Linked DNA regions of Oryctolagus cuniculus. The protein of the gene in region 4 interacts with the protein of the main gene of each other region in a pairwise test. Links are inferred from orthologs where the notes say so. Each region holds a gene or a part of one and is shown on either strand. Other genes may lie near its edges.

Region 1 (7,924 bases), on a different chromosome or scaffold from region 4:
CTCTGGCCCTTCCTGCCTTGCACCCCACTCACTGTAGAACAGAAAGCGCTGGTAGCCCTGGCCCGTCTCTTTGAGCATGATTCCCCCTGGGCACGAGCTGGAGAAGAGCTCCGTCTTCATGTCGGGGCGGCCTGTCAAGAGTGGGTGGAGGCAAGTGTGAGGAGGGAGACTTGAAACTGAGTCTAGGGGGCTGGGGGAGGGGGAGGACTGGAGAGAACCAACCTTCAGTCCTGAGGTTTGTGCTCCCTTCAGTCAAATGGTAGATCCACTTCCGGGGCACACAGAGTCCATTTTTTCTGCAGAAGTGGGCAGTGGCAGACAGGACCTTAGACCGAGTGTCACCTCAGCCATACGGTACCAGCCTCTACTTGTTCCATCTTATTCCTCCTGGAAATCTAGCTCCCTTTGGGTTTCATGCTAACAAGGCGTGGTTAGACCCATCTCTCTCCAGAAGGCACTGCCAGAACTAGAGGATTCAGTGGCCAAGAATACTGGCTACACTAGCCCCAAAGCCCAGGCCTTGCTGGGCGCTCGCGTTTCAGGCAGAGTGCACTCAGTGGTGCCTCTGTCTGCACCACTCACGTGCGGATGGTAGCACGAAGCTGGAGCTGCATAGGCGCAGAGCCTGCAGCCATGTTGAAGACAATGTTGTCCACAAGGTCAAAAGTTGCCAACTCCTCCTTGGTGGGAGCTGCCCCTGCAATAAAGTACCACTGGCCCAGGTGCGGCTCTGGAAACTGGAGAGACAATGAGGGAAGCAAAAGTTAATGAGTCCAGCGCTGGAGCCAGCGGTTAGCAGAGCAAGACTTCAGGTGGAGGGACTGGCTGCCTCCCTCTGCGCAACTGGGGGTTGAATTCCTGACAAAAAAAAAAAAAACCACTAAATGACTTCCTCCTCGCCCCCACCCCCCAAGTCAACCTGGTTCGCCACCCCTAACTCGGCCGAGTCTCCACGCTGATGGCCACTGGACTGGTACTTTTCTCCTTGCTTTCATCATTCCAACCCTCGTCCCTTTCCCAATCTGGCTTCTGGTGACTCTAGGTCACCCACTGAAGCCCCTCTAAACCACCACCAGAAGGTATCCCCCATCCTCAGTCCATACCTCCTTCCCATCCACTCCCAGAGTTGTCAGCTGACTGTGCTCCGGGCACTGATAGAGGGAGTTCAGAATGCCATAGAGGTAGAGCACGGCTGCCCAAATCCATTGGAACATCTTGAGGCAGGAGGGAGCTGCGGCTTTGCGACCAGTGCCTTAACTGCTCTCTCCACTGCTGGTGGCTCAGGCCACTCTGCTTTCAGCCCCCTTGCCTCGACCCTTGACCCCTTCACCTGCTAATGAGTAACTTCAACCTTGTTTTCCAGCCCAAGCCTGGATTACCTAGTGTTTGGGCCTTCCTCCCCCTCTTCTTCATACAACCAGTCCACGATACAACCTGGTATGTCCAGGGTGTCTCACGAGTTATGGGAAGAGCCCAGTCCCACACATAGAAGCCCACAGTTTTTTAACCCATGCCTGAGCTGGATATTGGCTGTGTTGTGCAGCATGGAAAAGAGGCTTGACTGGGATTTTCATTCATTCACTTAGCTGTTTTCTGAGCCCCAGCTGTTTGCCAGGAACTAGCTAATCTGTGGGGATACAAAAATGAGACACAGTCCCTGGCCTTGAAGTCAGTATAGGAAGAACTAGCTGTGTAAACAGATCACTGCAGTGCAACCTGATAAGTGCCAACAGGTATGGACCAGTTCCGCGGGCATGGTGGATTTCTCCCTAAAGTTTTAACTGTGGACACAGGATGTATACACCTTGGAAGGAAAAGTTTCAGGACACACAAGTTCATTCACTCAATGTTTATTACAAGGGGGCTACACAATTTAGTGATTAAAGAGGATAGACCTTTTGTGGCTGGCAGAGTGAATTCTAAACCCAATTCTTAGACCTCTCTTCTATTTGGGATAATTTTATTTAATCATCAATCTCACAGGATTGAAATAATGCATATGAAGTCTTTAGCAAAGACCAGAAAATGGTTAAGTCCCAAGTTAAATATTCAGTATAACAGTAGTATCTGCAGACTACTTACTAGTTTCTGGTGGGTAATCTCTGAAACCATAGGCACTAAGGGAAGAATGGTGACGCTGTGGTCACTGGGTTGTGCTGAGGGAGGAACTGCTGCTGAATGACCAGGGCTCCATTGCCAAATTACTTACTACCCGCGGACTACGACAAAGATTTACTCTGGGACTTGAGGCTTGCTATGGACTTGTGATTTACTGTGTAAACAGATCACGGTTTAAAAAAAATCAAAGCTAAATCCGAGCGAAGGGTATATGAAAGTTCATTTTACTAGTCTATTTTGGGGGTAATGCTTTGAGATTTCTCAAGAAAAAGCTAAGATGTAACAATTTATTGGAGCAGTAACGTCGAACTGGGCCCGTGTTTGTCACTTCCACCACCTAGGTTTGTCTAGGCGTACTCACCTATAAAACAGATGTTAGTACCCATTTCCAAGGTCAAAACTTTAAAATATGTAAAACGCTTATTATACTGGCTGGCACACTGAGCAGGTGCTTATTTAAACTGAACCAGTCCTGGGATCTGGGTATAAACTACAAATCGCAGAAAGACGTGGGGGAAAGGGGGCGCAGAGAAGCGGTAGTCCCCCCACCGCACCCCTGCGGAAGCCCCTCGGTGGCCTTTCAATTCTCCAAGGTCAAGGTCTCCTCTTTCGGTCCAGTCGGGTTCCATCGCGACAATTCTCAAACTCGGAAAACACTTCTCTTGACAAAAGTCCTGAAAGACAGCGGCAGGCTTAGCCTTCCTACAACATGGCGTGACTCCCTGGCCGCTCACTGCCCATGACGAACAAACACTACGTTCAGTCCGCAAAACGCCCCAACCGGCACAAGCGAGCTCCGGCCCAACGACGCAACCGCACGGAGAAACATCTCGCGAGCCGCCCCCAACAGCCTACGGCAAAGGTGACTTCCGGAGGCGCCGGAGCAAAGGTGCCGTGAGGACGACCGCGAGACGCTAGGAGGCTTAGGTGCCTAGGACAATGCCGCCTAAAATTCTCCGCTTACCAGGATTTTAACATAGGTTAACGGGGCAAAATCTCCAGGCTCCAAACTCTAAGGTCTACACGAATAGTTCGTAGTCTCTCTTGAGGCAGTGGCAGTCTCATCGGGCAATTTTTTTCTTCAGGCATTTATAGTGGCCACCTCAACCCCCAATCGCTGAAGCGCGCGCACAGGGGAAGTAACCACCGCCAGAGGGGGTGGGTGGGCGGAGTTTAAATGTGCACGCATGCGTAATGAGACTTAACGCAGGCGCAGTACGGTCCCCGGGCGACGACGGCGGCGGCTCCTCGGGGTGCTCGGCTCCCTCCCATCTAGGCCGGCCCCTGCCCGTCTCGCCCCCAGCAACTCACTGTTTGGGGCTACGGACTTTCTAATCGTGCCCCACAAAAGTAACGCTTGGGGACCTGGGGGAGCCGGAAGTACCGCCTCGTGATTCCCCAGATACTATCGGGGAAACGGAAGTGACCGTCGGAGGCAGGTTGGGGGAGACCGGAAGTGACGGTACCGTGGGGAAGTCGGGGGCGGAGCCGAAGGGTGGTGGGGAGTGTATGTGTATGGTGTTTGGCTGTGGCTGTGTGTTGGTTGTGCTGCTCTCTTGGAACACCGAGGGAAGGCGGAAGTGGGGGGGCAGTCAGCTAGCCGGTCCAGCCCCCCGTGAGTGTCCGCCGTCCGGGTCTGTAGTGATTTAGGCGGGTTCGATGGGCGTGGCGCGCGTGCGCGAAACCACTTTCTCCGCGGAGTCTGGCGCGACTCCCACTCTCGGGTTGTCCCAGGGTTTGTCGACTTCTGGGACCCTTGTAGTGCCGTGACTGGTGATGACACGGGTCTCTGGTCCCATGCTTGCTTCTTTTCCCGTATCTTAAGCCGACTGACCCGCCCTCATTGTGATTGGCATTGTGGAGCTCCTCCTACCTCCTGTCCTTCGGTTCCCTGTGCCGTCGATCTGCCCTTTGTGTTTCTCTCTCGTTGCCCCGGAATCGGAAGGGGAATGGGGGCGGGTGTGAGTGTGTGTGCTTGTGCGGGAGAAACTTTTTAGGTATTGGGGCGGGGATTCAGCCCGGGGAGGCTTCCTGGATCTAAAATCGGCTCCGGGCGACAGTGGACCTTCCTCTCCCCCTTCTTTCTTAGAGAGGTGTCGGCCATGGAGCCCAGTGATAGTACCAGCACCACTATGGAGGAGCCTGACAGCCTGGAGGTGCTGGTGAAGACCTTGGACTCTCAGACTCGGACCTTTATTGTGGGGGCCCAGGTGAGACCCCGATACTTCTGGAAGACATCTGTGGGCCCTTTGTCCCGGGGGCCCATTAGACGGAGAAGAGCCTGATGTTCTAGTCCTTGAGTTTTCATTGATTTCTTTGTTCACTTTTTTAACTGTTGAGTGAGGCAGATTTTTGTTCTGCCTTCTTTCAACTTGGTGGAAGTCAGTGCAGAGAATAGGAAGGAGGAATCTGTACGCTGTCATCTTATGTGGCCTCCAGCCCAAGGGGACAGCCTTTGGGAATGGACGTGATACAGTGACCCCCAAACAAGTGTGTCTTCTATAAACAGAAATTGGTCACATGGGTGTATACTCTTTTTTTTCCTGTCTCCTCTTTCCCCTTCTCTTTCTTTCTAAAAAGAGACAGAGCTTCCATCTGTTGGTTTGCTTCCCAAATGCCTGCAGTGGCTGAGACTGGGCAGGAGCTGGAAGCCAGGAACACTATCTAGTTGGTTGATCCATCGATTTTGCCTCCCAGGGTCTGTGTTAGCAGGAAGCCGGAGCCAGGAGCCAGAGCTGGGTATTGACCAGCCACTCTGATATGGGATGTGAGCATCTTAATTGCTAGGCTGGGTGCTCACTGCCTATACTGTTTTTTAAGTATGCGCATAAGAATTCGTAATGAATAGAGCTTTTGTAGACAAGCGAGTGGAATTACTGTATTTGCAGCATACTTTGAAACTCTGTTTAATGCTGTGGACACAGCTGTCTGTGCCTTTACTCCTGAAATAGCTAGAGACAGAATTGTGAGCAGACTGATCTATAGTTTCATAAAATATCACATGTTATTAAGAAAATAATATGGGCCTTTGTGGTTAGATGTATGTAAACATTCTAGCATTTCATAAGAGTGAGTTTTCTAGGTAGGAAAAATGACTTTCTTTTTTTCTCTCCTTCCTTCCTTCTTTCCTTCCTTCATTCTTTTCTCTCTTTCTCTTTTTTTTTCTCTCTTTCTTCCCTTTCTTTTTGCTACCTTTTCTTCTTGGCTAGTCTTCCCTCACCTGATTCCCTAACCCATTCTCCTTGCCATTGTTTCTGTCTTTGAGATTACAGGGTTGTCCTGGTATCATTTTGTGTTTGGGAAGGGGTCACTGGTAGCACTGAGCGCACCTTCCCTTGGGAACCAGGCAAAGAAGGAGAGAGGGGGCTGGCAGTCGGCTTTCTTGTTTCTTATCCACATCTTCTCCTGGTCTGTGCCATGAGTGTCCTTGAGTTTACTGCTTCTGTTTTGAGTCAAGCTTTGCACGATAGTTACCTCACATAGGAGACAATTGGCTAGTGATTCTATATGAGTTCTACCTCTCACCTTCCCTAATGCATGGTCCCTCTTCTGTACCTCCTCTGTCCTTTATCTGACTCCTGTGTGTGTCCTTTCTTCCTTGCAGATGAGTGTGAAGGAGTTTAAAGAGCATATTGCTGCCTCTGTCAGCATCCCCTCTGAGAAACAGCGGCTCATCTATCAGGGGCGAGTTCTGCAAGATGACAAGAAGCTCCAGGAATACAGTAAGGGGGTGGGGAGGCACTGCAGAGGTAGAGGATAGTGTTCAGAGGGATGAGCTGAGGCCATGGGTTTACCTGATCATACAACTATTTTGATGTATGTCTTTTTCTTTCTGCAGATGTTGGGGGAAAGGTTATCCATTTGGTGGAACGGGCTCCTCCTCAGACTCAGCTCCCTTCTGGGGCATCTTCTGGGACAGGGTCTGCCTCAGCCACCCATGGTGGGGGACCCCTGCCTGGTACTCGGGGGCCTGGGGCCACAGTTCATGACCGGAATGCCAACAGCTATGTCATGGTTGGAACCTTCAATCTTCCTGTAAGCTTGTGTTTTGCATGGCAGAGTTTTTGTGGGGAAGGGTAGTTTGGTTGGTTGTGGTATCAACAGGAGGCCCATCAGATGCATGTGTCAGTCTTCAGCTTGGAGGGCTCTGTGGTTTAGTGTTGGATTTGGACTCAGTCTTTGAGGAAAAGGGCTGGGGGAGGGGGGCTAGGCAATACATTGAAAGTGTGGAGGCTTTAGTGTTTGGCTTCTCCCAGAGCAACTTCCCTTACCCTTTCCCCAGAGTGACGGCTCTGCTGTGGATGTTCACATCAACATGGAACAGGCCCCAATTCAGGTATTGAGGGGCCTGGGAGGGTCAGAGAAGGGGATCTGGGAGAAGGAGGCCATGAAGTGGGGGAGGACCTGGCTGAGGAGATGACTGGGACCTGGTGTAGTAGGCAGTGGAGCTCATGGCTTCACCTCGGACCTGTCCTGATGATTCCTCTTTTATCGTAGAGTGAGCCCCGGGTACGGCTGGTGATGGCCCAGCACATGATCCGGGATATACAGACCTTACTGTCCCGGATGGAGGTAAGTGGGCAAGTCTGGCTAGAGTCTCTTCAGGGGCATAACTGGCCACAACCACAGGACTCTGCCTTCCTAATCTGGTCGCCTCTCTCTGCAATCTTTGTTCTTTGGGGTAGAAAAAGTATCTTTTTGAGACCGCTTTGACCCTGCCAGATCATTTGGTGGCTGGTATTGGGGACTTTGTTTCAGTCTTGTCAGGTAACTCTCACAGCATATCTTTTGAATTGAAGAAGGATCCCACACTTCTTAATTTTTTCCTTGATGTTCTAAGTTTGTCAGTTTGTGTTACGGTTGCAGCCTGTGGCCTTTCTCTCTCTCGTTGCAGAGATTAGGAAACTGCAGCCTCTGCTCTCTGTGATTCACTCACCAAGCCTACAGATGCTTGTGTGCAGCCTGATTGTCCCAGTGCTGCCCTGGCTGTTAGAGGCAGACCAGAGCCCTGCCTTCAGGGCGCCTCGTCAGGGTATTCTCCCCATTCAGACTCCTTTGGCCTGAGTGGTTGTCTACAGTAGTCTCATCCTGCTTTTGGTATTCTGACTCGCCCCACCTTCAGTGTCGAGGAGGGCCCCAAGCACAGCACAGTCAGCCGCCCCCACAAACGCCGCCTGTGGCCCAGGAGCCGGGAACCTTGAGCTCTCAGACAGCAGAAGCGGTTGAAAATGACTCGCCAGCTCGGGAGCCCATGGAGGCAGAAGAAGTGGAGGAGCGCACCCCAGTCCAGAACCCAGAACTCACCCCGCCTGGCCCAGCCCCAACGGGCCCAGCACCTGCCACGGAGACAAACACACCCAAGTGAGAGGAGGAGGGAACTCTAGGGGTTTGGGAGATCCCGAATGAAGTGTGAGGACCAGGAAAGGTACAGTGGCAAGGGAAGCATTGCTTGGGCCTTACCTGTAGGGTTAGCATTGAGTGTAGGTAAGTGAAGTTAGGATTGATAGCTGAGCAAAAAGTACTGCTCTCTCCTGGGCAAGGGAATCCAGGTGGTAAGTCCTGAGCCTGATAAAATTTTCTGCCCTGAGTTCACACGGATCCCATCTCTCTCGTAGAGTCAGTTTCTTGTGCTGGGGAGGGCGGGAGCAATTCCGTGTCTTCCCCCAGTCCTCCCATGGGTAGGAGTAAAGAACAGACTGTGCTGGTCTGTGAAGGGATCAGGCCCAGGGCAGACGGGCGGCTGCGATCCCTGGTGCCTGGGAGGTCAGGAGTTGCAGAAAGCCTCGGCTCACTGCCCTTGGGTTGC
Region 2 (7,797 bases), on a different chromosome or scaffold from region 4:
CAAGGTTCATCCACATTGTAGCATGTGTATGAATCTTCCTTTTTAAGGCTGCATCATTTCACTGAATATATGAGGCACGTTGTTTATCCACTCAGCTGTTGATGGACACCTGAGTTGTTTCCACCTTGTGACTCTTGTGAGTGTTGCTGCTATGGACATTGGCACATACCAGACGTCTTTTATAAGCTTCTGAAGTAGCATCTCTTCCTTAGTACAACAAAAGATTGAGGAGAATTTAATGTAGGTAATTAATGCTGTGCACAGGAAACCCAAAATAACTGCAAAAGAAATCACAGAGCCTTGAGACATTATGCTAAGTGAAATAATTCAGAGAGAAGGAAAATACTGTATGATTCCACTTATATGGAATACCCAGAATAGTCAAATTCAAACAGAAAGTTGAATGATGGTTGCAGAGGCTGGGTGGAGTGAGAGGAAGGGGGTTTGTGTTTAATGGCTACAGAGTTTCAGTTTTGTAAAAGGAAAAATTGTTCTGAAAGTGGATGGTAATGATGGTTGTACAATGTGAATGTACTTAATGCTATACTTAAAAATACACTTAAAATGGTTAAAGTGGGGGCCAGCGCTGTGGCACAGCGGGTTAAAGCCCTGGCCTGAAGCGCTGGCATCCCATATGGGTGCTGGTTCGAGTCCTAGCTGCTCCACTTCCGATCCAGCTCTCTGCTATGGCCTGGGAAAGCAGTGGAAGATGGCCCATGTCCTTGGGCCCTTGCACCTGCATGGGAGACCCGGAAGAAGCTCCTGGTTCTTGGCTTTGGATCGGTGCAGGTCCATCCATTGCAGCCTACTGGGGAGTGAACCAGCAGACAGAAGACTTCTCTCTCTGTCTTGACCTCTCTCTCTGTAACTCTTTCAAATGGAGGATGGCCCTGCACCACATGGGAGACCAGGAGAACTACCTGGCTCCTGCCAATGGATCAGCGCGGTGTGCCGGCCGCAGCGCGCCAGCTGCGGCAGCCATTGGAGGGTGAACCAATGGCAAAAGGAAGACCTTTCTATCTGTCTCTCTCTCTCACTGTCCACTCTGCCTGTCAAAAAAAAAAAAAAAAAAAAAAGAAATAAAGAAAGAAAGAAAGAAAGAAAGAAAGAAAGAAAGAAAGAAAGAAAATGCTGTGATATAAACTCAGAGTGTGAAAGAGACAGGAGAGAAACAGAGAGAGCACTTCCATCTGCTGGTTCACTCCCCAAATGCCTATTACACCCAGGGCTGAAGCCAGGAGCCCACAACTTAATCCGGGTTTCCTATGTGGGTAGCAGGGATCCAAGTACTTGATCCATCTTCTGGCACCTCCCAGGCAAATTCTCAGAAAGATGGATTGAACATGAGGCAGAGGGAGGACTTGATGCCAAGCACTCCACTAAGGATATGGTATATCCCAGGCGGCAGCTAAACCCACTCTACCACAACAGCTGGCCTGTGTGCTGTACTTTTGTAAGAGTGGCAGTGCACTAGGTTTGTTTCTACGGCCATCACCACAAATGGATATTGTGTTGCACTACAACATTATGACAGATACAATGTTACTAGAAGATAACAATTTTTTGCCTCCATTGTAATCTTATGTAATATTATTGGACCACGATCGTATATTTGGTCCATCATTGGTTGAAATGTCATCATGAAGTGTGTGGAAATCTTTATAAAATATTTAGGAGAAACATTTAATAAAATATCAATATGTACTTTATAGTCTCCAATAAAATACAAAAATATTAGAGTACACATTCTCTTCTACCTGTTATTTTTCTTATAAAAGCTTATCTCAGGGGCATGTGTTGTGGCACAGATTTATATATCTACACAAGGAATAATAAGGCAAATACAGGTGGGCCCTAATCCCACACAAAATATCCCAGAGAATATGGGCCTTTGAAATGGAATTACCCAGGGGTTCTCACTTCTCATTGAGATCACTTGGAATAGGTTTGTGTGTGTGTGTGTGTGTGTGTGTGTTTAAAAAAAAAAAAAAAAAAAAACTAATGCTCAGGCCCCAATCCTTTCAAATGAAATCAGAATCACTACAGTGATGCCAGGCGATCCTAATGAGCTGAAACCTGCAGCACAATCCCTAAGTGAGAACCCGGGAAAAACAGTTCTGAGGATGGCTGCCCCAAATGAGTTTTATTTGGGGGCCACAAGAAAGAGAACTCGTGTACTTAAGTTGTTAACAATGCTTCAGACAGAAAAATGGCACCTGCAAAACGAGTCGTTTGTTTACTCACAAAAGCTGCTTGGACTAAAGGTAATTTTATTAAAAATGTATCTCTTTGCATAAGAATCAAATTCATAATCCTACTCTAAATTAGGTCAAGCTGTCACTCACCCAAAATTGTGGGCCTGCTTCCCAGAGTTCAATCAAGAAACACACCAGAAGGAGTCGTCACACCAAACAATTTAGTGCAGCAAATTAGGAAACCATAGGGAATTATTCCTAAAGCTGTGTCTCCACAACCCGGGGAAAACAGGTTATCTTTTGTCTTAGGGGAAAATGAATACCTCTTACGTAGTATTCTTGTTTGCACATGCAGGATGGAGACAAGTCCACACAAGAACAGTTCGGAAATATGCTTCAACATAGGTTGCATGAGATGGTAACGAGGCTTAAGCACCTCCTGCGGTGGAGAGCTTAGTGTTAAAATGAAGCAAAGTGGTGTCCTATGGATACTTTTTGACCCACTTGCCCAGGCGTCATCGCTTTTGCAGTAGGGTCTGGACAATCTAGGGTGACAGGTGATTGCACCCCTCCCTGGAATGTGAGTGAAAACCTGAAAGACAACTCAGAATAGCACCAGGTGTTTAAAGGGTCTGGAACTAGGAATCACAGTAAACACTCTCCGACACGTCTTCCATCTACCGAAGGGAATGATTTTAAATTCTTCGTTATTCCCTGCCCCCAAAACAAAACTGGGGCGTCAGCTTTCTTCATACGTGCGCAAGTGCCCATGGGCTCGACTCCTAAAGATGGAAACGCCGCGAGTACTTTTGTTTTTCATTCTGTGGGTGCCGGAGATTGACAGCAGCTGCGTCGGGAGACCAACCAGCCCCCCGCCCGCGACCGGCCAGACAGGACAGGCTCTCCCTTAGTTCTTGACAGTTGCCTTCCTCTTATAGCGGACGCTGAATTTGTCTTTCACCTCGCAGATGCAACAGATTCTAGTACCGAAGCCAGGTGTACAACCACTCAGCATTAATAGCCACTGCGACCAATAAATTTCCAAGCGAAAATCTCCGGCCCCTTCGGGTCGTGACGCCCGCTTCCGGGAAGCAGACCGGAAGCCGCTCTCGAGTCTGCGTCAAACGCGACTTCAGGGGCCGTCGCAAAAGTGTCGCCCTCCGCCTCTCGGACGGGCCACAGGTTTCCACTCGCCTCCGGCCGGGGGTCGAGCACTGCGGGAGTCAGTTTCCCTCAAGATGGCGGACGAAGAGGCTGGGGGTGCGGAGAGGATGGAAGTCAGCCCCGAGTTGCCCCAGACCCCTCAGCGACTGGCATGTGTAAGTGCCTGTAGACAAGTTCCTTTTGTCCTCCCCCCAGTCCCTCCCTACCGCGCTCAGGAGGATGTGGGGCTTCACCTCTTATGGCGGCTCTGGGGAGGGGGAGTCCTATGGATTGATCTGGAAGGAAGCTGCCGAATAAAAAGTTAGTCGTCACCCACATTTCCTGCCAGTCAAGCCTCCGGCATATAATGACTTTGCCGTTTATTAGTCTCGACGGGCTCAAGCATGCATGTCTGTATCCTGAAGTAGAAAGAACTGGTGATGTTCTTCTATGGTTTCATGTAGGGGGCTAAGGAGGGATTGGAGAGAGCCATTTTCCGGTAGACGCCGCGCTAGCCCCTCTTGATGCTAGGAATCCAGGACGCAGACCCCGCTGCAGAGTGGTATGTTGCCCAGCCGGCCGGAACCTGATAGTGCAAGGGAAGGCGGCCACTGTCAAGTCATAGTCAGGTGTGGGGTGTAGGAATTGTTGTGCCTCATTGTAGCCTCTTGAGAACCCCAGGCTTATTCCTCTGTGGAGAAACCTGCCGTATGTTGCTGCTTTTTACAGCTGTGGAAGGGACTCGTAGCTATTTCAAGTCAGAGTAATACGGTTTGCTCCTGCATTTTGAAAGACTCGGAAGGCAGAGATAGTGAGCAAATGTGAGGCAATAGTCTGACTCCAAGAGAAAGCGGACTATGGAGGGTAAGAAGTAGGGTACTGTGTTAAGGGAGTGTTCTAAGTGCCTCTGGGCATCTGGTGGAGAGCTGTGTAGGAAATATGCAAATGTATGTCACAGCTGCATATAGAAAAGTGTGAGGTGCACCCCTCTTTCAGAAGTTCCTTTGGTTTATAGTGTTCATAAAAGCATTCTTGAAGTACTTTAACCCTGTGAACACTTCAGCATTGTTTATGAGCTACAGAAATGAGTCAACCCCAGGGACTGGAGAGACTGGCTGGGAGATAGAAACCAGGTAGGGAGGGAGTTGGACTAAGGGTTTGACCACCGACTAGGCCATCGTTTGGCAATCTTTCTCCATCCCAAATAGTAATTCAAACTCACTTCATTGTTGGAATTGAAGGAAGATACTTGTATGACTATCTGACATGACAAGGCATAATGGAAAGATAGAACAAATTTAGAGCTGGTTTTAGTTTATAGCAAGTTTAGAACCAGCTCATTTTAATGGTAGCTTGTGCTTTTTTCATGTTAAAAGGAATGGAACAGGGCTGGCATTGTGGTGAGGTGCATGAGGCCCCTGCTTGTGGTGCTGGCATCCCAAATGAGTGCTGGGTCATGCCCTGGCTGCTCCACTTCTGATCCAGGCTAATGGCCTGGGAAAGCAGCAGAAGATGGCCCAAGTACCTGGGCCCCTGACACCCACATGGGAGACCTTGATGAAGTTTCCAGAGCTCCTGGCCATTGCAGCCATTTAGGGAGTGAACCAGCAGATGGGAGATTAATCTCTCTATCTCTGTAACTTGGACTTTCAGATAAATAAATCTTTAGAAGGAAATTGTGTATGATAGTCAGAAAAGTTGTTTTAGTTTTGTGTTGCCAAAGATGACTGATATTTATTTAAAGCTTCAGTGTGTTCTTTCCAGATGGTGTAGTAAAACTTCTTTATTCTGGACTCTACTAATTGGGAATTGGGAATTGGAAATAATGGTATAGGAATTTCAGGAGATATTTCAATTTGAATATCTCTGATCTGAAAACTAAAATCTTAAATGCTTTACAATCTAATTCTTTTGAGCACTGACATGATAACATAGGTGGAAAATTTCACACCTGACCTCATGTGTTGGGGCACAGTCCAATACAAGTATACTAAACATATTGTATAAAATTACTTTTCAGGCTATGTGTGTCATATATATATGGAACATAAATGAATTTCATGTTTTGGCTTGGGTCCTGTCCCCAAGATATATCTTGATATATATGCAAATGTTCCAGAATCCAAAAGTCTGAAATTTGAAAAACTTCTTGTTCTGTGCATTTTGAATAAGGGATACATGACCTGTATTAGATTTCTTCGGGCAAAGTTTTTGGATTTTGCAAAGTAGTAGGCTGATGGTGTAATACAGCCTCAGGGAAACCACATTCTAATGACACAGGTAATAGTAGGGCTCAAAGAATTTTTTTTAAAGAATTTATGTATTTGAAAGACAGAGTGACAGAGGGAGAGACTAAGAGATCTCCTAAGGGTTGATTCATTCCCTAAATGATCACAACAGGCAGTGCAGGGCCAGGCTGAAGCCAGGAGCCAGGAACTCCCATCTAGGTTTCTGGCATGGGCGACAGGGGCCCAAATACTTGGACCATCTTCCGTTTCTTTGCTAAGAGCATTAGCAGGGAGCTGGATTGGAAGTGGAGCAGCCCTGGCTCAAACTGGCAGTTTATATGCGATACCCATACCCCAAGCAGCCATGTAACCACTGTGCAGAGCACTGACCTCTAGTGCCCTAAGAAGTTTAACTCAAGATAGGGTCATGTAAGTGTGTAACTGTTAAACCTCATGACCACTCTTGATTTGAATCTATCTATTGGAGGGCCCCAGAGATCATCCTACCTTCTTTTTCTTTTTAAAGCTACCGTCTTCAATTTTATTCTGGCAGTGGAGTAAATTACTAGTTTCCCAGTTTGCTACTTCTTTGCTATTAAACAAAAAGTTCAGGTTTTTTCTTCCATTTGAATGATTCTTATATTTTAAAAAAGGTTTATTTTATTTATTTGAAAGGCAGAGTTACACAGAGAGAGGTCTTCCATATGCTGATTCACTCACCAAATGGCCACAATGGTCCAGACTGAAGCCAGGACCCAGGAGCTTCTTCTAGGTCTCCCACATGAATGCAGGGGCCCAAGCACATTTGACATCTTCCTCTGCTCTCCTAGGTACATTAACTGGGAGTTGGATTGGAAGTGGAGTAGCCAAGGCCCAAACTGGTGTTTATATGGGATGCCAGTGCTGCAAGCAGTGGCTTAATGCACTACACCACAGTGCCAACCCTGAATGATGCACATTTTAAATCAGTATTGGAGGCAGAGGAAACAAAAATAATAAATAAGGAATAGTTATGGAGGTTTGAGGGGTCTTACCAGTCCCATTAGAGTTCTTGATTATAGTTTTTTATTTCCTTAGATCAGATTTGCTTCTTGGATCTAAGATATTTTTCAGTCATACTGCTGTCAGTAACTTTGAAGACTGTCATATCCCTAATACCACTAACATGCAACAAGGTATAATAATAATAATGGGTATAAATAATTGGATATTTATAAAAGCTGTTGCTTAAGAATAATCAAGGGAAATCTGTAGCTTTGGAATGAAGTCCACAGATCTGTGTCTTTGCATCATGCCCTGCTGATTCTGAAATTCTGATCCATAGGACACACTTTGAATAAAATTTAGGTAGATATTTGGAAGTTATCAGTATAGAATTGACGGTTGAGTTTGTGGGAATGGATAAGATCTTTGAGGAAGAAAATGTATGTATCACACACACAAACACACAGAATGAGGAAGTGGACTGAAATGATTGAATTTCAAGGTTAGAAAATAGAGGAAGACTAGTTAAGAACCTTTGGAAATGGAACAACCAAGCAGGTGGGAGGTGAGAGTAGTGCAATATCATGGCGAGTAGTTTTGAAGAGAGGGTATTTTATTGGGTCCGTGGGGATGAGGGTGGGACAGTCTGCAAATCTAAGGATATGTGGGGGTGATCTGCCAGATCTGCATTCTTTGACTGTATTTTCTTCCTTAAGTCTGTCTTAGAGGTTGTCCCTTAGCATGGTGCTAAGCTTTTCTCTTTTGCTTGACTATACCTTCTCTCTAGGTGATTTCATCCAGCAGCTTTAAATACCAGCTGGATGTCTTAACTTCTAAAATTTGTATCTTGGGCCGGCTGCATGGCTCACTTGGTTAATCCTCCACCTGCAGTGCCGGCATCCCATATGGACCCTGGGTTCTAGTCCCAGTTGTTCCTCTTCCAGTACAGCTCTCTGCTGTGGCCCAGGAGGGCAGTGGAGGATGGCCCAAGTGCTTGGGCCCCTGCACCCTCATGGGAGACCAGCAGGAAGCTCCTGGCTTTGGATCGGTGCATCACTGGTCATAGTGGCCATTTGGGGCATGAACCAACAGAAGGAAGACCTTTCTCTGTGCTTTCTCTCACTGTCTATAACTCTACCTGTCAAATAAAAAAAATTTTTTTTTTTTTTTGTATCTTTGGGTCATCTCACTTTTGAGCTCTGGAATCAAATCCAGCTGCTTACTCGACATTTGCACTTGGTTGTCTG
Region 3 (8,056 bases), on a different chromosome or scaffold from region 4:
TGTATTGGGATCCCCTGGCATGATTCTAACTCCACCTTTTGGGGCAAGTCCTATTGAGCATTTCCCAAATTGTACATCTCCTTCATTATACTTAAGCTATGTTGTGAATGCTAGGTTGAATTAAATTATGACTAATCTCAATATCATTGGTTCTGATTTATTGAAAAAACAAAACCTATAGATAATCTATAGAAGTGACATTGACACATTGAGATGCAATGGCTTTGAACAACCCTTGTCTCTACTGTTAGGAACAGATTTTTTTTAAAGATTTTATTTATTTATTTGAAAGTCAGAGTTACACAGAGAGAGGAGAGGCAGAGAGAGGTCTTCCATCCACTGGTTCACTCCCCAGATGGCCACAACGGCCGGAGCTGTGCCTATCCGAAGCCAAGAGCCAGGAGCTTCCTCCAGTTCTCCCACATGCATGCAGGGACCCAAGGACTTGGGCCATTTTCTACTGCTTTCCCAGGCCATAGCAGAGAGCTGGATCAGAAGTGGGGCAGCGGGGTCTTGAACTGGTGCTCATATGGGATGCTGGCGCTCCAGGCCAGGGTGTTAACCCACTGTGCCACTGTGCTGGCTGCAAGGAACAGTTTTTTTTTTTTTTTCTCATACTATTTGTTTAACTGTTTACCTAATAGTAGAGTTAATCTTATGTGTATAAATTTAATTGAAAATAGATCTGAATAAAAATAAGAATGGGAATAGGAGAGGGAGGAGGGAGAAGGGTGGGAGTGTGGGTGGGATGGCGAGTAGGGTGGGAAGAATCACTATGTTCCTAAAGCTGTATTTATGAAATGCATGAAGTTTACCTTAAATAAAATATTTCTGGGGAAGAAAAGAGAAAAAGAACTCCATTTAATCTTCTATTGTATTTTCAAAATATTAATATTTTGGGTAAAATAATGCTTTATTGTCTAGCTGTTAGGGTCATCTGGGGAGTGAACCAGTGGATGAAATACTTTTCTCCCTCTCTTTATCTGTAACTCTGCCTTTCAAACAAACAAATAAATTTTAAAAAATAATAATGCTTTATTGTAAAGGGGCTATCCTGTAACTTGGCCAGCATCCTTGGCCTCCAGCTACTAGGTGTCAGGGTTACCCCTTTTCTCAGACTGTGATAAGAAAAGATGTTGTCAGGTAACGTCTTGGAGGGCACCTACTCCTGTCTGACAACCATTGATGTAAGTCATTTTCACACATACCTACTTTAATAAAATCCTATTTTGATATAATGCATATAATTGAGTGAAATAATGAGAATCTCATGCTTCCTTTATGACCTTTAGCAATGGGCACCACGATCAGCCCTGCGTTGTCCACCTGACTGGTGGCAACATGTTCACCTGTAGATGTGAAGATACAGGTTAGGAAGGAAACTCGGCCCTTGCAGAGTGGTGGGAAACCCTGAGACATCACTTTCAGTAACGGGTCTGGGAAAAATAACCCTAGTCAAGGTCATGCGCATCCCTCCAGTCGGTAGTTACCAGCAGATGCTTCACGGGGAGAATGGGCTCCTGTGAGAACAGGGAAGCTGCAATCTGTGTTTCATTGGAGGTTGGTGTACGCCCTGTGTCTGGAGAGTTTCCTTAAGGGGATAGATAGAAAGTGCCTAATGGAATTTCTGATGCACCTCCTTGTGGAAAAAAAAATAAAAAAAAAATGATTGATTGATTAAAAGCTCTACTTGCCGAGCTGCTTCTTGGCCCCCAGTTGACTCCTTCCTCCGTGGGACACTTCTGCTTGTTGCAATCGATGGAAGAGCCTCAGATCCCTGAAAAGCTACCTGCCACAAAACAGTGCTTCTACTTTGGGATGTCAGGGGTGGTTTTAAGTGAATGGAAAAGAGTTAAATAAGGTACTTAACAAATATTTGTCAAATTGAATAGAAGGACGTGAGCTCAGAACCACAGAAATGGACAAACAAACCACAACCAAATGGGGGGGTGCAGCCGGCATGTGGGCTGTGGCCAAATGGTGATAGCAAGGACATAAAAGGAGCATTGGAAGGAGCTGGAAAGAAGTGACAAGAGACAGAACACTTCACAATTCACTTCTGTAAATGTTAGTGGAAATCTGCTTTGTAAGTCTGAATCATTTCATACAACACTTTTAATCTCATCTATGCCATAAATATTCATCTACATATGACTTCAGCAGTCCCAATTCTACTATCTCAGCATCTTTCTTCCATTGAATGAGATGGAATTCCTGAAAGTCAAGGAGCCCAGCCTCTGAGTTCTATAAAACCTAGCATTTGAGCTCCATTGATCAATCCCCTAAATTCTTTGTCGATGTCAAAGGCTTATCATTACAAAGGCTCATAAAAGCACCACAGAAGCAAAAAAAAAAAAAAAAAAAAAAAAAACCTAAAGGAAAGCAGCACTTAATTAGGAACCTGAAGACATCTGTCACTCTGTGACAATGGAGAAAAGTACTCTGCACACTTTGGGAGGCTCAGGTGGGCTGGGACTGACAGCTGAATTTGGCTGGGGTTCTTCTGTGTAGGGAGGGCGTTTGGGGGTGGGGAAGAACAAGAAGCTGTTTTTTTCATCCTGAATATTATTTTTAAAAAATGACAGGGGCCAAAACTGCAACCTAAAATGTCACTGTGTGTGATAGGTTAACTTGGTAAACTGGGGAATGCGCCCCCGGAAAGCACCGAGCATGCATGGGGTTTGCAAAAGCTAGACTGTGTTCCGTCTCTCTGCTAAAAACAATACAGTCTTACATCTCCTGGCTTCTTGGTTCAAATCCGTTTTCTTGCTCCACGGGGAGAGACTGCCCCTGGAGTAGCCTGCTTTTAATAAGCTTCCCAATCAGCTCTCGGGTGAAAAGCACTCTCCCTCCCTCGCCCAGCCTGCATCCTCTCCCATCCCTCCCATTCTCCATTTCCCTTCCGTTCCCTCCCTGTCAGGGCGTAATTGAGTCAAAAGCAGATCAGGTTCCCCGCCTTCCAGTCCAAAAATCCCGCCAAGGGAGCCCCAGAGCACAGGAAAATCCAAAGTGGAGAGAGAGGAAGAAAGAGACCAGTGAGTCGTCTGTACAGAAGAGCAGAGCAGCGGCCGCCCAGGCAGGAGCAGCAGCGCGCAGGGTACCTGGACTCCAGCAGCGGCAAACCTCGCCCCTTCCAACAAAGGCAGCCTGAGCGCCAGGGAGGACATTTGCAGCTCAAAGTAAGCGGAGGGAATGTGTGATTTCCCCCAGGGGGCTTAAGTGTGCTTGCACCCTGTGCCACTTTTCTGGTTGCCAGCGGATGAAGGTGCTGGGAGTGGGAGAGGGGCTGCCTGGTGTGGTTGCTGATAGGACTGCTCTCAAAACTGACTTACTGCAGACTGAGGCATGTTTTTGGGAGGGCTGTCAGGTCAGGTTTAAGGAGAGTGTGCTTTTCTGAGCAGAAGGAGGGAAGCCTTTGTCGTGGGAAGCCTGCGTTTGGAGGCTGCTCCAGCTGACTGCTACAGAGCTTGCCAGGGTGGGCTGCAGGGTGCATGGTTGCTCTTTGTCAAACCTGAGGCTTTGGGAGGTGTGTGTGTGTGTGTGACTCAGTAGAGAGGAGGCAGGAAGGCAGCCCTTGTGAGCAGGTCTCATTTTCCCATTCTTTTTCTGCTTCTCGGAGTACCCCGGGGGCTTGCCAGCGGATGACCCTTAGCTGGCATTTCTGGGTGACGTGTGGGGGCTTGTTTGTCCCCCTGCCTGGTGACACTGAGCAGCTGGCACTGTCAATCCTGCCTGACAGCCAGGAACACTTCGAGAAATGGTCAAGTCCAAACTTTCCAAGATGCACCATGGTTCCCCATTGCTCATTTGGTTGCCGACTTTGATCCCTGTCCTGCACTGTCCTGCTTGCCCTTTTCCCTTTACCCACAGAAAGCTAGGGTATGTTTGTTACCCCAGGTATACTTTGTTAGACCATCAATTTCTGAATTGACTGTTCTAATAACTTAACAAAATATTTTTTGAGAGGAATGTACCAAATTCTTTCCTTACTTAATGTACAGAACATAAAACTCCCTCTCCTCTTAACACACACGCACACACACACCCTTGTACCTAACAACACAACACCTACATCCACTCAAGAATACACACAGAGTTTATATACACTCTGTTGTTACCTTAGCCCTGTCTAATAGCTGCTTTGTGAAATTGGGGGATACACTGAGACAATAGGTGTGGAGTTGGGGGCGCACGAGAGGAGGAAATGAGCAATGTGAGGGAAGTGCCAAATTCTAGTAGTTTTGCTCTTTTAGTAGTTGAGCTGTCATGGCATGTGTTAGCAGTAGCTTGAGAAAGAGGTTCTGTGTGTGTGTGTGTGTGTGTGTGTTGGAGGGAAGGGCCTGGGAGGAGAGTCAGGAACCACCCAGAAGAGCTTTGTAACTAATAACATAATGGAGCCACTTCATGATCTCATTCAAATGTGGAATTGATGAAACAGCAGAGTGCATGTTAGCCCCTTAATCATCTGGGGATGAATTGATTTGCAGGACTATTAAGAGGTAGTGGGAGTGAAACAAAAGGGAAGGTGATCCACACTGAAAACCAAGCTTGTGTCTCCCATCTTTGGTCTGTTCCTTTCTAAGTTGATTATGCACTTTAAAGACTAAGTCATAAAAAGCGGTTAAAGACCAGCTGAATTCAAAGGAAAAGAGAGTGGATATTACCTTTCTCTCCCTTTGGGACATGCGTTATTTTAGAGTGGCAATATTTGTACTTTATTACTTAAATTAAAAGTTTTTTTAGGTATTATATTTGCTTTGAAAAACATCCAACACCATTTTCTGTGCTTTAAGAAACTTCCATGCTTTATGGTCTCTGGCTGTATACTTTGAATTTGGACAGGCGATCATTCCCCTCCCACTACTTGAAGCCCAGGACACTTTTCCTCTCAGTTTCGTGAAAAACCTCTCTGGGATGAAGTTGTACAGCTGCTTGCAGAGCTGTGCCCCAGTGGTTTGCTTGTGGACACAAATGCATCGCCTTCTCAAAGCCAGAGCTGCGACAGAGAGCAAGCTGCAGCTAACACGGGGCTTTTTAACTGTTGACTTTGTATTACAGGGAATGAACATAATAAACCATATTTAACTATATGCAGTATAGCATATCATATACTATTTTTCTTTTACCCTAGATTTCTTTCCATGGAGTTTGGTACAAGGAACATTAATTTACCGCAAGTTTCCATGTGCCTTATGTGGTCTTTACAAAAAGCAAACTGTAGCAAGACCTGCATTTTTTAAATGGGGATTTTTATTACCATTGTTCCAGTAAAGCCAATGACCTGAATTTTCACAAAAAGTCATCGTTTAAGATAATATAAGAGAAATAGATTCTTAAAGTTTCACAATCACTTGTATTAGCAAAATCAATTTTAGGAATAAAATAAGTGTGAATGTTTTATTTCTCTTTGAACATATTCTTTTTCCATTTAAATGACAATCTCACTTGAATTCCGATTATTTTCCTAGTTGCAGTGTGGTGGTTTTATGGCTACTCAAAAACTTCCCAGGCAACGGGCTTCTTCAGAATCATGTAATAAGTTAATAATCATGTAATAAGTTAATAACCATGTAATACATTAATAATCCTCTAATACGTTAATAATCAAGTGATAAGTAGACTGAGGACCAGAAGTCAGAATCCAGAATCTAATTTGCAGGTCTCAAGCTTGTTAATATGGCAGAATAATAAGGGACATGGTCCTTAACCTCTTTGCTGAAGGTAATGTCAAAATTCAGAGAACTCACAGTGATCTCTTGATCCCAGGGGTCAAAGATGTCCAACACTGGGTGCACACAGTCCAGGTTCAGGTCTGATGTGCCCTGGAGCTTCAGGCCAAGGGAGAGTCCGCCAGATGCCTCCCTATGGCTTTGCTGGTGATGCTGGGTTGATCTTCCCTGTAACCATGAGGCAGGAAGAGCTTTTGTCTCCTGGCACAGGGCTGCGCCCTTGCAGCAGGAGGGGAGTGAGATAATGTTCGAAGATAGACTTATATGAGCTGGGTGGGTCTGCTTTTGGTCCACCCAGAGTCAGTTAGCTTGAGTAGAATTTGAGCCTTGGCCTTACTTTGGAAAGCTGTTCTCCATTCTTGATATTTATGGCTAATTCAAGTTTCCACTGCTAGGCAGTTTTTCCATCTGCCCCAAGCCAGCCTTGTATGTGGCACATGGTGTCATTACAATCTTTCCAGATTGTAAACATGTAACAGGCCTTTTTTTTTCTCCCTTCTCTCTTCTAGCATTTATTAAATAAGAAGTTAAGGGTTTTGCAGCTTGAAAGTGTGGCTGTGATGAGATATTATCAGAGGCTATTAGAATGATGGCAGTACTACAGTTTAACCTACAAGGGTCACATTCATCTAAACCCCAGTTGCCTCAGGGCAGGCCAGGAACACAGTGACAAGTCCATCCTTGAGATATTTTGAAAAATAAAATCTCATTTCTTCTACTGGGTTTTATTTTCTGAGTCATTTCTTCATAGTGACATTTCAAATGGACCAAATATATACACACACACACACACACACACACACACACACACACACACACACATATATAGTCATAGTATTTCCTAAAAGCAGAATTCTTAGATTTCATGTAAAAACACAAACAGCTTGCTGTATTCCTAGCCTTTGGTTCCTACTTTTACACTTACCTGCTTCTCCCACCTGGCCTTCATTTCTCCCTTTTGTTAACCTAGTTGCCGTTAATTCCCGTCTTACAGATCCATGATGTCTTGCCCAATTCTGTCCTCGTATTTGTGATGGCATATAACCCTTACTGTATGTGTGGGACAGGAGTGTCTGCCCACGTCTTGGAATTCATGGAAGGTTGGATCTAGCTAGCCCACGTTTTGATATTGCTCTGGTCTGGTGCACTCAAATCTTTTCAGCACTAAAGCACCCTCTACTGACTCCACTGGATTTTTCCTTTTTGATTCAGACTCTGGCAAAGGTCAGCTTGCACTTTCCTCACTGCAATAAGTAATGACTTACTGTGCTCAGCTTCCCGACTTCAACAGAGAGCCATAGCTGTGATCACTCCTCTCTGTCACATTGTCTCCAGTCCTAGGCCCCAAACAATTTTTCTTGCTGCTGTGGCCAATCAATGTAATACTATTTATTAGAGCATGTCCAGTGCCTATAACTATGCTACACAGTATATCATATTTAAGAAATATAACACAGCTTCTTTTCTCTAAGCACTCACGGTTTTACAATTTGAAGCACTGTGTTTGTTAAGTGGTGCTAACTTGTGACCTTGTGAAATTCTTTATTAGACATGTATTGAAAACATCTCAAAATATTAAAATGTATGAAACCTCTACCTATCTCTGGAAGACAATGCTTTATATGTCACATCTTTTTCATTAAATGAGTGGGTTTTGTCTTTCCTCCTTTTACTTACCACACCAGCATTGCCTGATAACTCCATCTCCTCACAATTATCTCTTACTACACACATCTTAACATACTCTTATCTTTCCCGATTCCTTTTCTTATTTTTCCCCCTTGACTCCCATTTCTATGTATTTTCTTGAGAGAATGTGAAAGGAATCATATTTGGGTACAATCCTATGTCGGGGAGGAGTTTGAAGTAAAAGACTTCTTATTTCATTTTGTCTTGTTCTACTGGTATCGGCTGTGCTATTATTATTATATGTCTGGTTGTATGATAGGAGACACAAGATGAATAAATATGCCTTTAAGTAGCTTATAGTCTACTCAATATATATATATATGATTAATAAGATTAAAACACTAATTATTATAGCACAAGGTATGCACATACACAATTTTTGCCCTAAGCAGTTCCACTAACACAGGGATCACACTTTCATGAGCAAAAACAAAATAGAGCTCACGGAAGGCTACTTGGTATTCAATATTTATTTCAAAAGCACCACCATCTTTTTGTGGCTTTAATGCCATTATTCTGGAAGAGAAATTGAACACTCTATTCCCTTGTGTTTTCATTTCACATTTTCTACACACAGAGAAGAAAAAAATATTTTTGGATGTGACATCTTGAGAATTCACTGTGAGTTTACTTAGAAC
Region 4 (7,285 bases):
ATTAAGATTAGAGCACCTGTACAACTAAAGTTCACTGTATCAATCTCAAAGTGGTACATTTGTTACTTAGAAAAATTAATTTTGATCTTATAAAGAGGTCAGAACTTTCTTTTCCTCAAGGACTACAATTTTACTAAGAGTGATAATTTTTAAGCTTATTTAACTGCATACCCAAGATTTAATGAGTACTTAGTACTAGTAATTATTTCATCAATGGAGTTCAGCATTGAATTCATTGACAGTGTATGCTGTACCATGTGCATGGGCCAGATTGTATTAAAACCTAAGTTTTTTTGTGGTGAGGAGGGCATTGAAGCTGATATTGTGTAAATTAAAAATTGTATGACTGCAGTGTTTTGAAAATGTTGAACATTTTACATTGGTAGGAAACAAAATGTGAAGAAGCCTGAATAATTTCAAGACGTAAACTCTGAGTACTTTTCCTGATGATTTCACATTTTTCTCTAGCTTCTTTGGAGATTTTGGTTTCATGTTTGGAGGAACCCCTCGTCAACAAGACAGAAATATTCCAAGAGGAAGCGATATTATTGTAGATCTAGAAGTCACTTTGGAAGAAGTATATGCAGGAAATTTTGTGGAAGTAAGTTCATTATGACTCCCATAACTCGTTTTTTACTGAATCTAATAAGTTTCTATATACCTTCTCTGTCTTTTTTTAAACTTATTTTTAAAGATTTATTTATTTATTTGAAAAGCAGAAGCAGAGAGAGAGAAAGAGGTCTTCTGTCTGCTGATTCACTCCCCAAATAATCACAACAGCCAGAGCTGGGCCAATCCAAAGCCTGGAGCTTCATCCAGGTCTCCCACACGGGTGCAGGGGCCCAGGGGCTTTGGCCATCTTCCACTGCTTTCCCAGGCCATAGCAGAGAGCTGGATTGGAAGTAGAGCAGCTGGGACTCGAACTGTTGCCCATATGAAATGCCAGCACTGTAGGCAGCAGCTTTACCCACTACGCCACAGTGCTGGCCCCTATGTTCTCTGTCTTGTAAAAGGTGAAGAAGAGTGATCAGATGCCCAGAATTGAGTTAATCATAATCCTTGGATCATGATACACTGTTATCATTGTTTAACAACTCACAACCAAGACCAAAAACTAAACCGAGATCCATGACTTAATCGCCCTACATGCTGTTTTCTTATCCTGTTCCTTTTCCTCTCTTCTGACATAATTGCTATCCTGAATTTTGTCCTTATTCTTGTTTGTTCTATTATATATATATGTATTTTATATATGTATATATATACACACACACACATACATGCATGCTTGAGTAATACCATTTTGGTTTTTATTTTGTCGAAGAGGGATGCCATTCATTATCTTCTGGGCCTGGCTCTATTATTTCTTACTGTTTCATGTTGTTTTTGTCTTCCTTACCTCCTTATGCATTGTCATGCTTGTTTAGGTTCTTGATCTGTTTTCTCTAGTACATGTGCTTAAAATATATGTGTAACCCAGTTTATTGTCTTGGGGGACAGGGTTTAGTTATTCTGGCCTTTGAGCTCATTCCCATATGGACATCAACAGTATCTTTCCCTGTAGAGCATGTTGGGGTGAGTCTTTGCTCAGTGGTTTTGACTGTGTTGTGTCTGTCTGTCCTTGCAGTATTTTGTTTGGTGTCTAGGGTTTTCTGTGGAGTGGTGCAAATAGTACTTGTCCCAAAGCAGTTCGGAAGAGGCCAATGCAGAACTCCAACTGCTTTTTGCTAGTATCGTCTTGCTGCCCTGACTGGGGTGTAGGCACTACCCGACCCACATACTAACTCTGGGATGTTCTCGTGACATCTCTGTGACTGTTTCCTGGAACCTGTGTTTCCTTGTAGTTTTTCTAGGATTTTGGAAGAGCTGGCAGCCTAGTTTCTGTGCCATCTTGACAAGGAACATCTTCTTAGTTGTGACTGTTGCTCTGAACATTTGAAAGAGAGCTAGCTAGTCAAAGAAGATGTGACTGGCTCGTAATACTGTTGTTCAGACCGCAGGATAGAAGAAAGGGGCATTACAATTTCTTAGGTCTTCTCCACACATTGAAGAGGTTGTTTAGGTAGGAGAAACAGTGGAGCCTAATTAACTTCCACCTTCCTTTCCTAACCTGCTGTTCTTCAGTTTTTGTTAATACACAAAATACAAAAATAGTTCAGAAAGTTGTGGAGGGGTGGATGTTTGGCCTAGTGGTTAAGACACTCATGTCCCATAAAGCAGTACCTGAGTTGGAGCCCCAGCTCTTTGCCTAATTCCAGCTTCTTCCTGATGCAGACTCTGGGAGGCAGCAGTGATGGCTCAGGTAGTTCCTGCCACCCACATGAAAGGCCGCTCCTGTCTTCAGCTTGGCCCAGTTCTGGCCACTGTGGGGAGTGAACCAGTGGATGGGACCTCTCTCTTCTGTCTCTATCACCATCTTCCTCCCTTTCTCTAGCTCTTTGTCTCTCTGTCTGCTTCTCAAAGAAAAAAAATTAAAAGTTCCTGAAAAATTGTATGAAAAGATAAGTGTATTCTGGTATAAAATATTTTAAAGCCATCCATCCATACAAAAGGTCTTAAAAAGTTCATGGAGAATTTATATTATGAAAAAAGCTATGCTTGAATTTAAAAATTTTTTTTCAGCAAAAAACTTAACTTTTAGTTCCATTTTTCCCTGGACTTTTTAAAATACCCATGTATATTACTTTTTACAGTGAATGCCCCCCCCCCCTTTGTAATATAATCATGGGAAAAATGTGAATGCCCTTACTATTTAAAAATGTTTTAAGAAACGATTACCTTAAGAGATAGGGTATGATTAGAAGCATGGACTTTGCAAGTAGTCTGCTTTGTTTGGAACTGTGGTCCTGCCATGTATTAGTTATGTGACCTTGGACCTGCCACCTGGTCTGTAAAATGGAGATAACAGTACCTACCTCACAAGGTTGCCGTGAAGATTAGGTGAATATGTAAAAGTTTTTAGAGCATTGCTTGGTATGTAATAAGTGCTGTAAAGTATTTGCTCTAATTCCTATCATTGTTAGGCTTTATTCTGCTGACCCGGGCTTTCATACACTGGTAATCCTTAAGGGACTGCTCCAAGCATTGGTGTCATGCTGCTGCGTGAGTATGCGTGCACCTCGTGATTAGGTGTTTGACTAATTAAACAGGCAAAAACAGGGATGTACTTCTTCACATATATATCTTTTTTTAAAAAAATTATTATTTGAAAGGCAGAGTTATAGAGAGGCAGAGAGAGAGAAAGATGTCTTCCATCTGCTGGTTTACCCCCTAAATGGCTGCAATGGCTGGAGTTGGGCCCATCCGAGCCAGGAGCCAGGAGCTTCTGGGTCTCCCACGCAGGTGCAGGGGCCCAAGGGCTTGGGCCATCTTCTACTGCTTTCCCAGGCCATATCAGAGAGCTGGATGGGAAATGGAGCAGCCGGGACTCAAACTGGTGCCCATATGGGATTCCAACCCTGCAGGCGGCAGCTTTATCCACTATGCCACAGCATTAGCCCCTATATTAATTTCACACACCTCGAGAGATCAGAGTGTTTGATTGCAGTCAGCTACAAAGAGATGGCAGCTATGTGTTTGCTATGTGTTAAGGTATCTGAATGGAGATAGCACTGGAAAACAGGCCAGGGTCGGGTTACCTAGAACAAGGAGCTGTCTTCATTGGGATCAGACGGCAGCCGCACACCAGCCCTGAAGGCTGTGGTTGTTCTTCAGGGGTTGTGCTTTACAAGGCCTCGATTTCAGCAGATGTAATTCTGTAACTACCGCAGTCGGGCTCACAAGTGCTGACATTATAAACCTTACTCTGGGTCTCTTCTTCCCTACTCCGCTCTCTCTTTACCTCTCAAACTTCAGAATTTGAGTCATTTAAATATGTGTTTGCCTCATTCCTGTTTGTGCTCCCCAGGGAGTCCTGTGAGCTCTTGGTCTCTCTGAGGGATGGCTTGTCTGGGAAGGGGCAGCTCCAGGTCCAGCCAGTGGCCAGAGCCCTGGTTGGCTGAGGTCCCCAAAGACAGTGAAGCTGATGTTGTTTATGCACTTCTTAGGTAGTTAGAAACAAACCTGTGGCAAGGCAGGCTCCCGGCAAACGGAAGTGCAACTGTCGGCAAGAGATGCGGACCACCCAGCTGGGCCCAGGGCGCTTCCAGATGACCCAGGAGGTGGTCTGCGATGAGTGCCCTAACGTCAAGTAAGTGAAGCATCTTCTTGGTTCCGCCAAGAAACACTCGAGTAATCGCTTTTGTCTAATGAGGCGTCAGTGGTCCATCCCCAGCTCTTCCTCCCTCCCCTTACCATGTTCTACCGAAGGATAGAGCAGGAATGGACATTTTAACTTTTTCCAGAAGTGTTTCTTCAGAATATGCGTATCTTTAATGTTTCTGAAACAGTAAGCAGTGCTGTCTATGTCTGAGTAGACTTACCAAGTGCTGAGGTTTCATTTTCTTCCTGCTTGCATAGCAGAGCAGTCTTATGTGTTTGTGTACTATATAGTAGTTCTGCCCTAAGTTTGGACATTTAGAAGGTGTAAGTGGATTTCAGAGGTCTTTGCAGAGGAGAGGTACACTGTAGTCTTCCAAGAAAAAGTCCTGATAACATAGATAACACTTTAATTATCTGTATCTTGGGTTTTCATTTGTATCTTCATTTTGTTTTTCTTCTTAAATTCTCTTTGTCTTAGACTAGTGAATGAAGAACGAACTCTGGAAGTAGAAATAGAACCTGGAGTGAGAGATGGCATGGAGTACCCCTTTATTGGAGAAGGTGGGATATTGATACTGATGTTTTATGATCATAACTTTCTGCTCTCCACTTACGAATATTTGTCTCACCCCATATCCTAATGGCCTCGTAGTGAATGCATATAAAATTCACCACACATGGAGAATCTTTTCTGACCATCACGGTTAGTCACCTGAGGCGGTGTCATTACTATTTGTCCTTCAAATATCATGCCCAAAAGTTACTATCAGGTGGCCTCAATTTCACCAGAATTTAAAGTGTCCAGACCTTTATGGATTAATTTTAACTTGACAGTGAAAGAAGATTCGCTGCCAGACTGTACCTTTGGGCTCAAATTTAAAACTCTAAAAGGATAAAAGCTTTCAGACTTCAGGTTCAGGGCATCAATGAATCATTCTTTGTTTGAGAAATAGGTCAAGTTATTTATTACCATGCCTGAGGCACAAAGTGATCTTATCTTCACTAGTAATCTGAAACGCTGTAACCAGGCAGAGACACTTCCTTCACAGATAAACTTGACAGAATCAATGCCAAGGTGGTGGCTTAAAAGAATTCTCTCAGCTGCCAAATAGATTTGTGGTATTCGACTTGTGTGACTTACGGTATGCTGTCATCTGTTCTGACTAGGCGAGCCTCATGTGGACGGGGAGCCTGGAGACTTACGGTTCCGAATCAAGGTTGTCAAGTAAGTGACCTAGTTCCAGAGGCTTCTCTAGCCCCTGCTTTCCGCAGGCATCAGAGCATCCAGTGTTCTTCTCTGTTCCGTGCCCTGAACTAGTCTTTGTAACTCTTGAACAGTACTGAAAATGTGGGGTTGGACCCCAGGATTGAGCCCCCTTTATTATTTACTTAGGACTTACAAGTCCAAAAGATGTCTTAAGGAAAAAAATTGATAGAACAAGTAAGGACTTGTAAAAGAGAAGCAAACAAGAATAAAAGTCAAGGAGAACTGAAATTTTAGCTGAGGATCTCTGGCACCGTGAAAGAATGGGGGACTTTTCCCTAAGCACAAAGTACTGCTTCCTGGGCCTCGGGCTTTCTTGTTTATCCTCTCTTGTTACCACCTTGGAAATCAGTGAAGCCTCTGATCTAAAGATCTGCTGGAACAGGGTTCCCGCTGGCATCTGGAGGAACGGCCTTCCACTGCCTGAGACCTGTCCCTCACCACTGTCCTTAGTCCCTGTGATCTCCCCCAGCCTTCCTTCCCGACCTTGTCTTTCTCATCACTTCCCAGAGACACTGGCCCATGCGCTGCTCCTGGAATAAGCCTGGTAACTTCTCAAGTCCTTGGCTCTGCAGAATTTCCCTCACCTTGCACACACCTCATCTGCCTCTCGAGGCAGCTCAGAAACCACCACAGCCACCATTCCTGTTGCCCATCCCCCAGCCGCCACTGCCAGGAGTTGTCACTCTCTCTTTTCCATTTTCTAATGACAGTCCTTCCAGTTGTACGCTTTGGCTTCTGATTGAGAGCACCTAACTGTAGCGTCTGATATGTGACTTCATTGTCTTGCTTAATACTACACAAAGGCATCTCCAATAAATGCTTATTGTTTGAGAGAGCAATGTTTATCTTTCTCTAAGACGTTTCTAACAACTTGTTCAGTGTTCCTGGAGAAAAAAATGGAAGTTAATCATTTTTACCTTGTGTTTTTAGGCACCCGATATTTGAAAGGAGAGGAGACGATTTGTACACAAATGTGACAGTCTCACTGGTCGAGTCTCTGGTCGGCTTTGAGATGGATATCACTCACTTGGATGGTCACAAGGTAAATGGACCAACCTTCCCGTTTTCTATTCTTGCAAAGCCTCCCCTGGGTGGCTCTTGAGATGCTTTTGGCCATTTCAGTTATTTAGAACCACAGGGAACCCTTTGATGCTTTTGCTCTGCCTTCCTGCCTTAGGTCACTGCTGCCCGCCAAGCAGCGACAGCCACAGGCCTTCAGCTGTTCTGCGTTGGTGGCACAGCCTTTGGTAGTCTTGTCCTTACGGTTTCCATTGGCGAAAGTGTGACTTCTTGTTCATGTGTTGATTTTTTCTTTGTCTTTTTTAAAACCTTCTTTCTTTGACTCTCATGTCCTGTTTCACTTGTCCCTTCATTCTGTCTTTGCTGAGCTGTGACACTAGTCTGTGCACAAGCGCCCGCTAGAAGCTGTGTGATATATCCCAAGTGGACCCGTCCTCCTCAAGTCTCCCTTTTGCTTTCCAGGTGCATATTTCCCGGGATAAGGTCACCAGGCCAGGAGCCAAACTGTGGAAGAAAGGGGAAGGCCTTCCCAACTTCGACAACAACAACATCAAGGGCTCTTTGATAATCACTTTTGATGTAGATTTTCCAAAAGAACAGTTAACACAGGAAACCAGAGAAGGTACGGGGTGTAATGAGTGCGCGTGTGTGTATGAGAATAAGGTGGCCATAAACCCTGCAGGGACGTGAGACATCAACCATTAGCACTAACGGAACACAAGAATAGGAATGGACTTGACCGTCTTTGTAAAGGCAGTGTTTAAAATCTCCTGTTGCTGTGTTACAAAGGCCGTGTAA

What was found.
Region 1: the proteins of DNAJB11 (region 4) and BAG6 interact in a two-hybrid assay, tested with the Homo sapiens proteins (2 studies listed by BioGRID and IntAct). The link is inferred for Oryctolagus cuniculus from reciprocal best matches to the Homo sapiens genes DNAJB11 and BAG6.
Region 2: the proteins of DNAJB11 (region 4) and UBR1 interact in a two-hybrid assay, tested with the Homo sapiens proteins (2 studies listed by BioGRID and IntAct). The link is inferred for Oryctolagus cuniculus from reciprocal best matches to the Homo sapiens genes DNAJB11 and UBR1.
Region 3: the proteins of DNAJB11 (region 4) and PTN interact in a two-hybrid assay, tested with the Homo sapiens proteins (2 studies listed by BioGRID and IntAct). The link is inferred for Oryctolagus cuniculus from reciprocal best matches to the Homo sapiens genes DNAJB11 and PTN.

What each region holds. Positions count from the first base shown.
Region 1 is NC_091436.1:138,960,291-138,968,214, forward strand, and holds the start of BAG6 (large proline-rich protein BAG6), read left to right. Parts: upstream 1-3,417; 5' UTR 3,418-3,557; exon of another isoform or gene 3,558-3,733; intron 3,734-4,207; exon of another isoform or gene 4,208-4,211; 5' UTR 4,212-4,220; coding exon 4,221-4,328; intron 4,329-5,722; coding exon 5,723-5,840; intron 5,841-5,956; coding exon 5,957-6,153; intron 6,154-6,400; coding exon 6,401-6,454; intron 6,455-6,615; coding exon 6,616-6,690; intron 6,691-7,240; coding exon 7,241-7,479; intron 7,480-7,924. Other genes in the region: APOM (apolipoprotein M), read right to left, coding at 33-131, 223-296, 583-737, 1,104-1,214. UniProt on the Homo sapiens protein: ATP-independent molecular chaperone preventing the aggregation of misfolded and hydrophobic patches-containing proteins.
Region 2 is NC_091443.1:66,087,562-66,095,358, reverse strand, and holds the start of UBR1 (E3 ubiquitin-protein ligase UBR1), read left to right. Parts: upstream 1-3,287; 5' UTR 3,288-3,433; coding exon 3,434-3,514; intron 3,515-7,797. UniProt on the Homo sapiens protein: E3 ubiquitin-protein ligase which is a component of the N-end rule pathway. Recognizes and binds proteins bearing specific N-terminal residues that are destabilizing according to the N-end rule, leading to their ubiquitination and subsequent degradation.
Region 3 is NC_091434.1:173,074,896-173,082,951, reverse strand, and holds the start of PTN (pleiotrophin), read left to right. Parts: upstream 1-2,831; 5' UTR 2,832-3,179; intron 3,180-8,056.
Region 4 is NC_091435.1:96,298,361-96,305,645, forward strand, and holds part of DNAJB11 (dnaJ homolog subfamily B member 11), read left to right. Parts: intron 1-468; coding exon 469-601; intron 602-4,046; coding exon 4,047-4,189; intron 4,190-4,678; coding exon 4,679-4,761; intron 4,762-5,367; coding exon 5,368-5,425; intron 5,426-6,397; coding exon 6,398-6,509; intron 6,510-6,949; coding exon 6,950-7,109; intron 7,110-7,285. UniProt on the Homo sapiens protein: As a co-chaperone for HSPA5 it is required for proper folding, trafficking or degradation of proteins.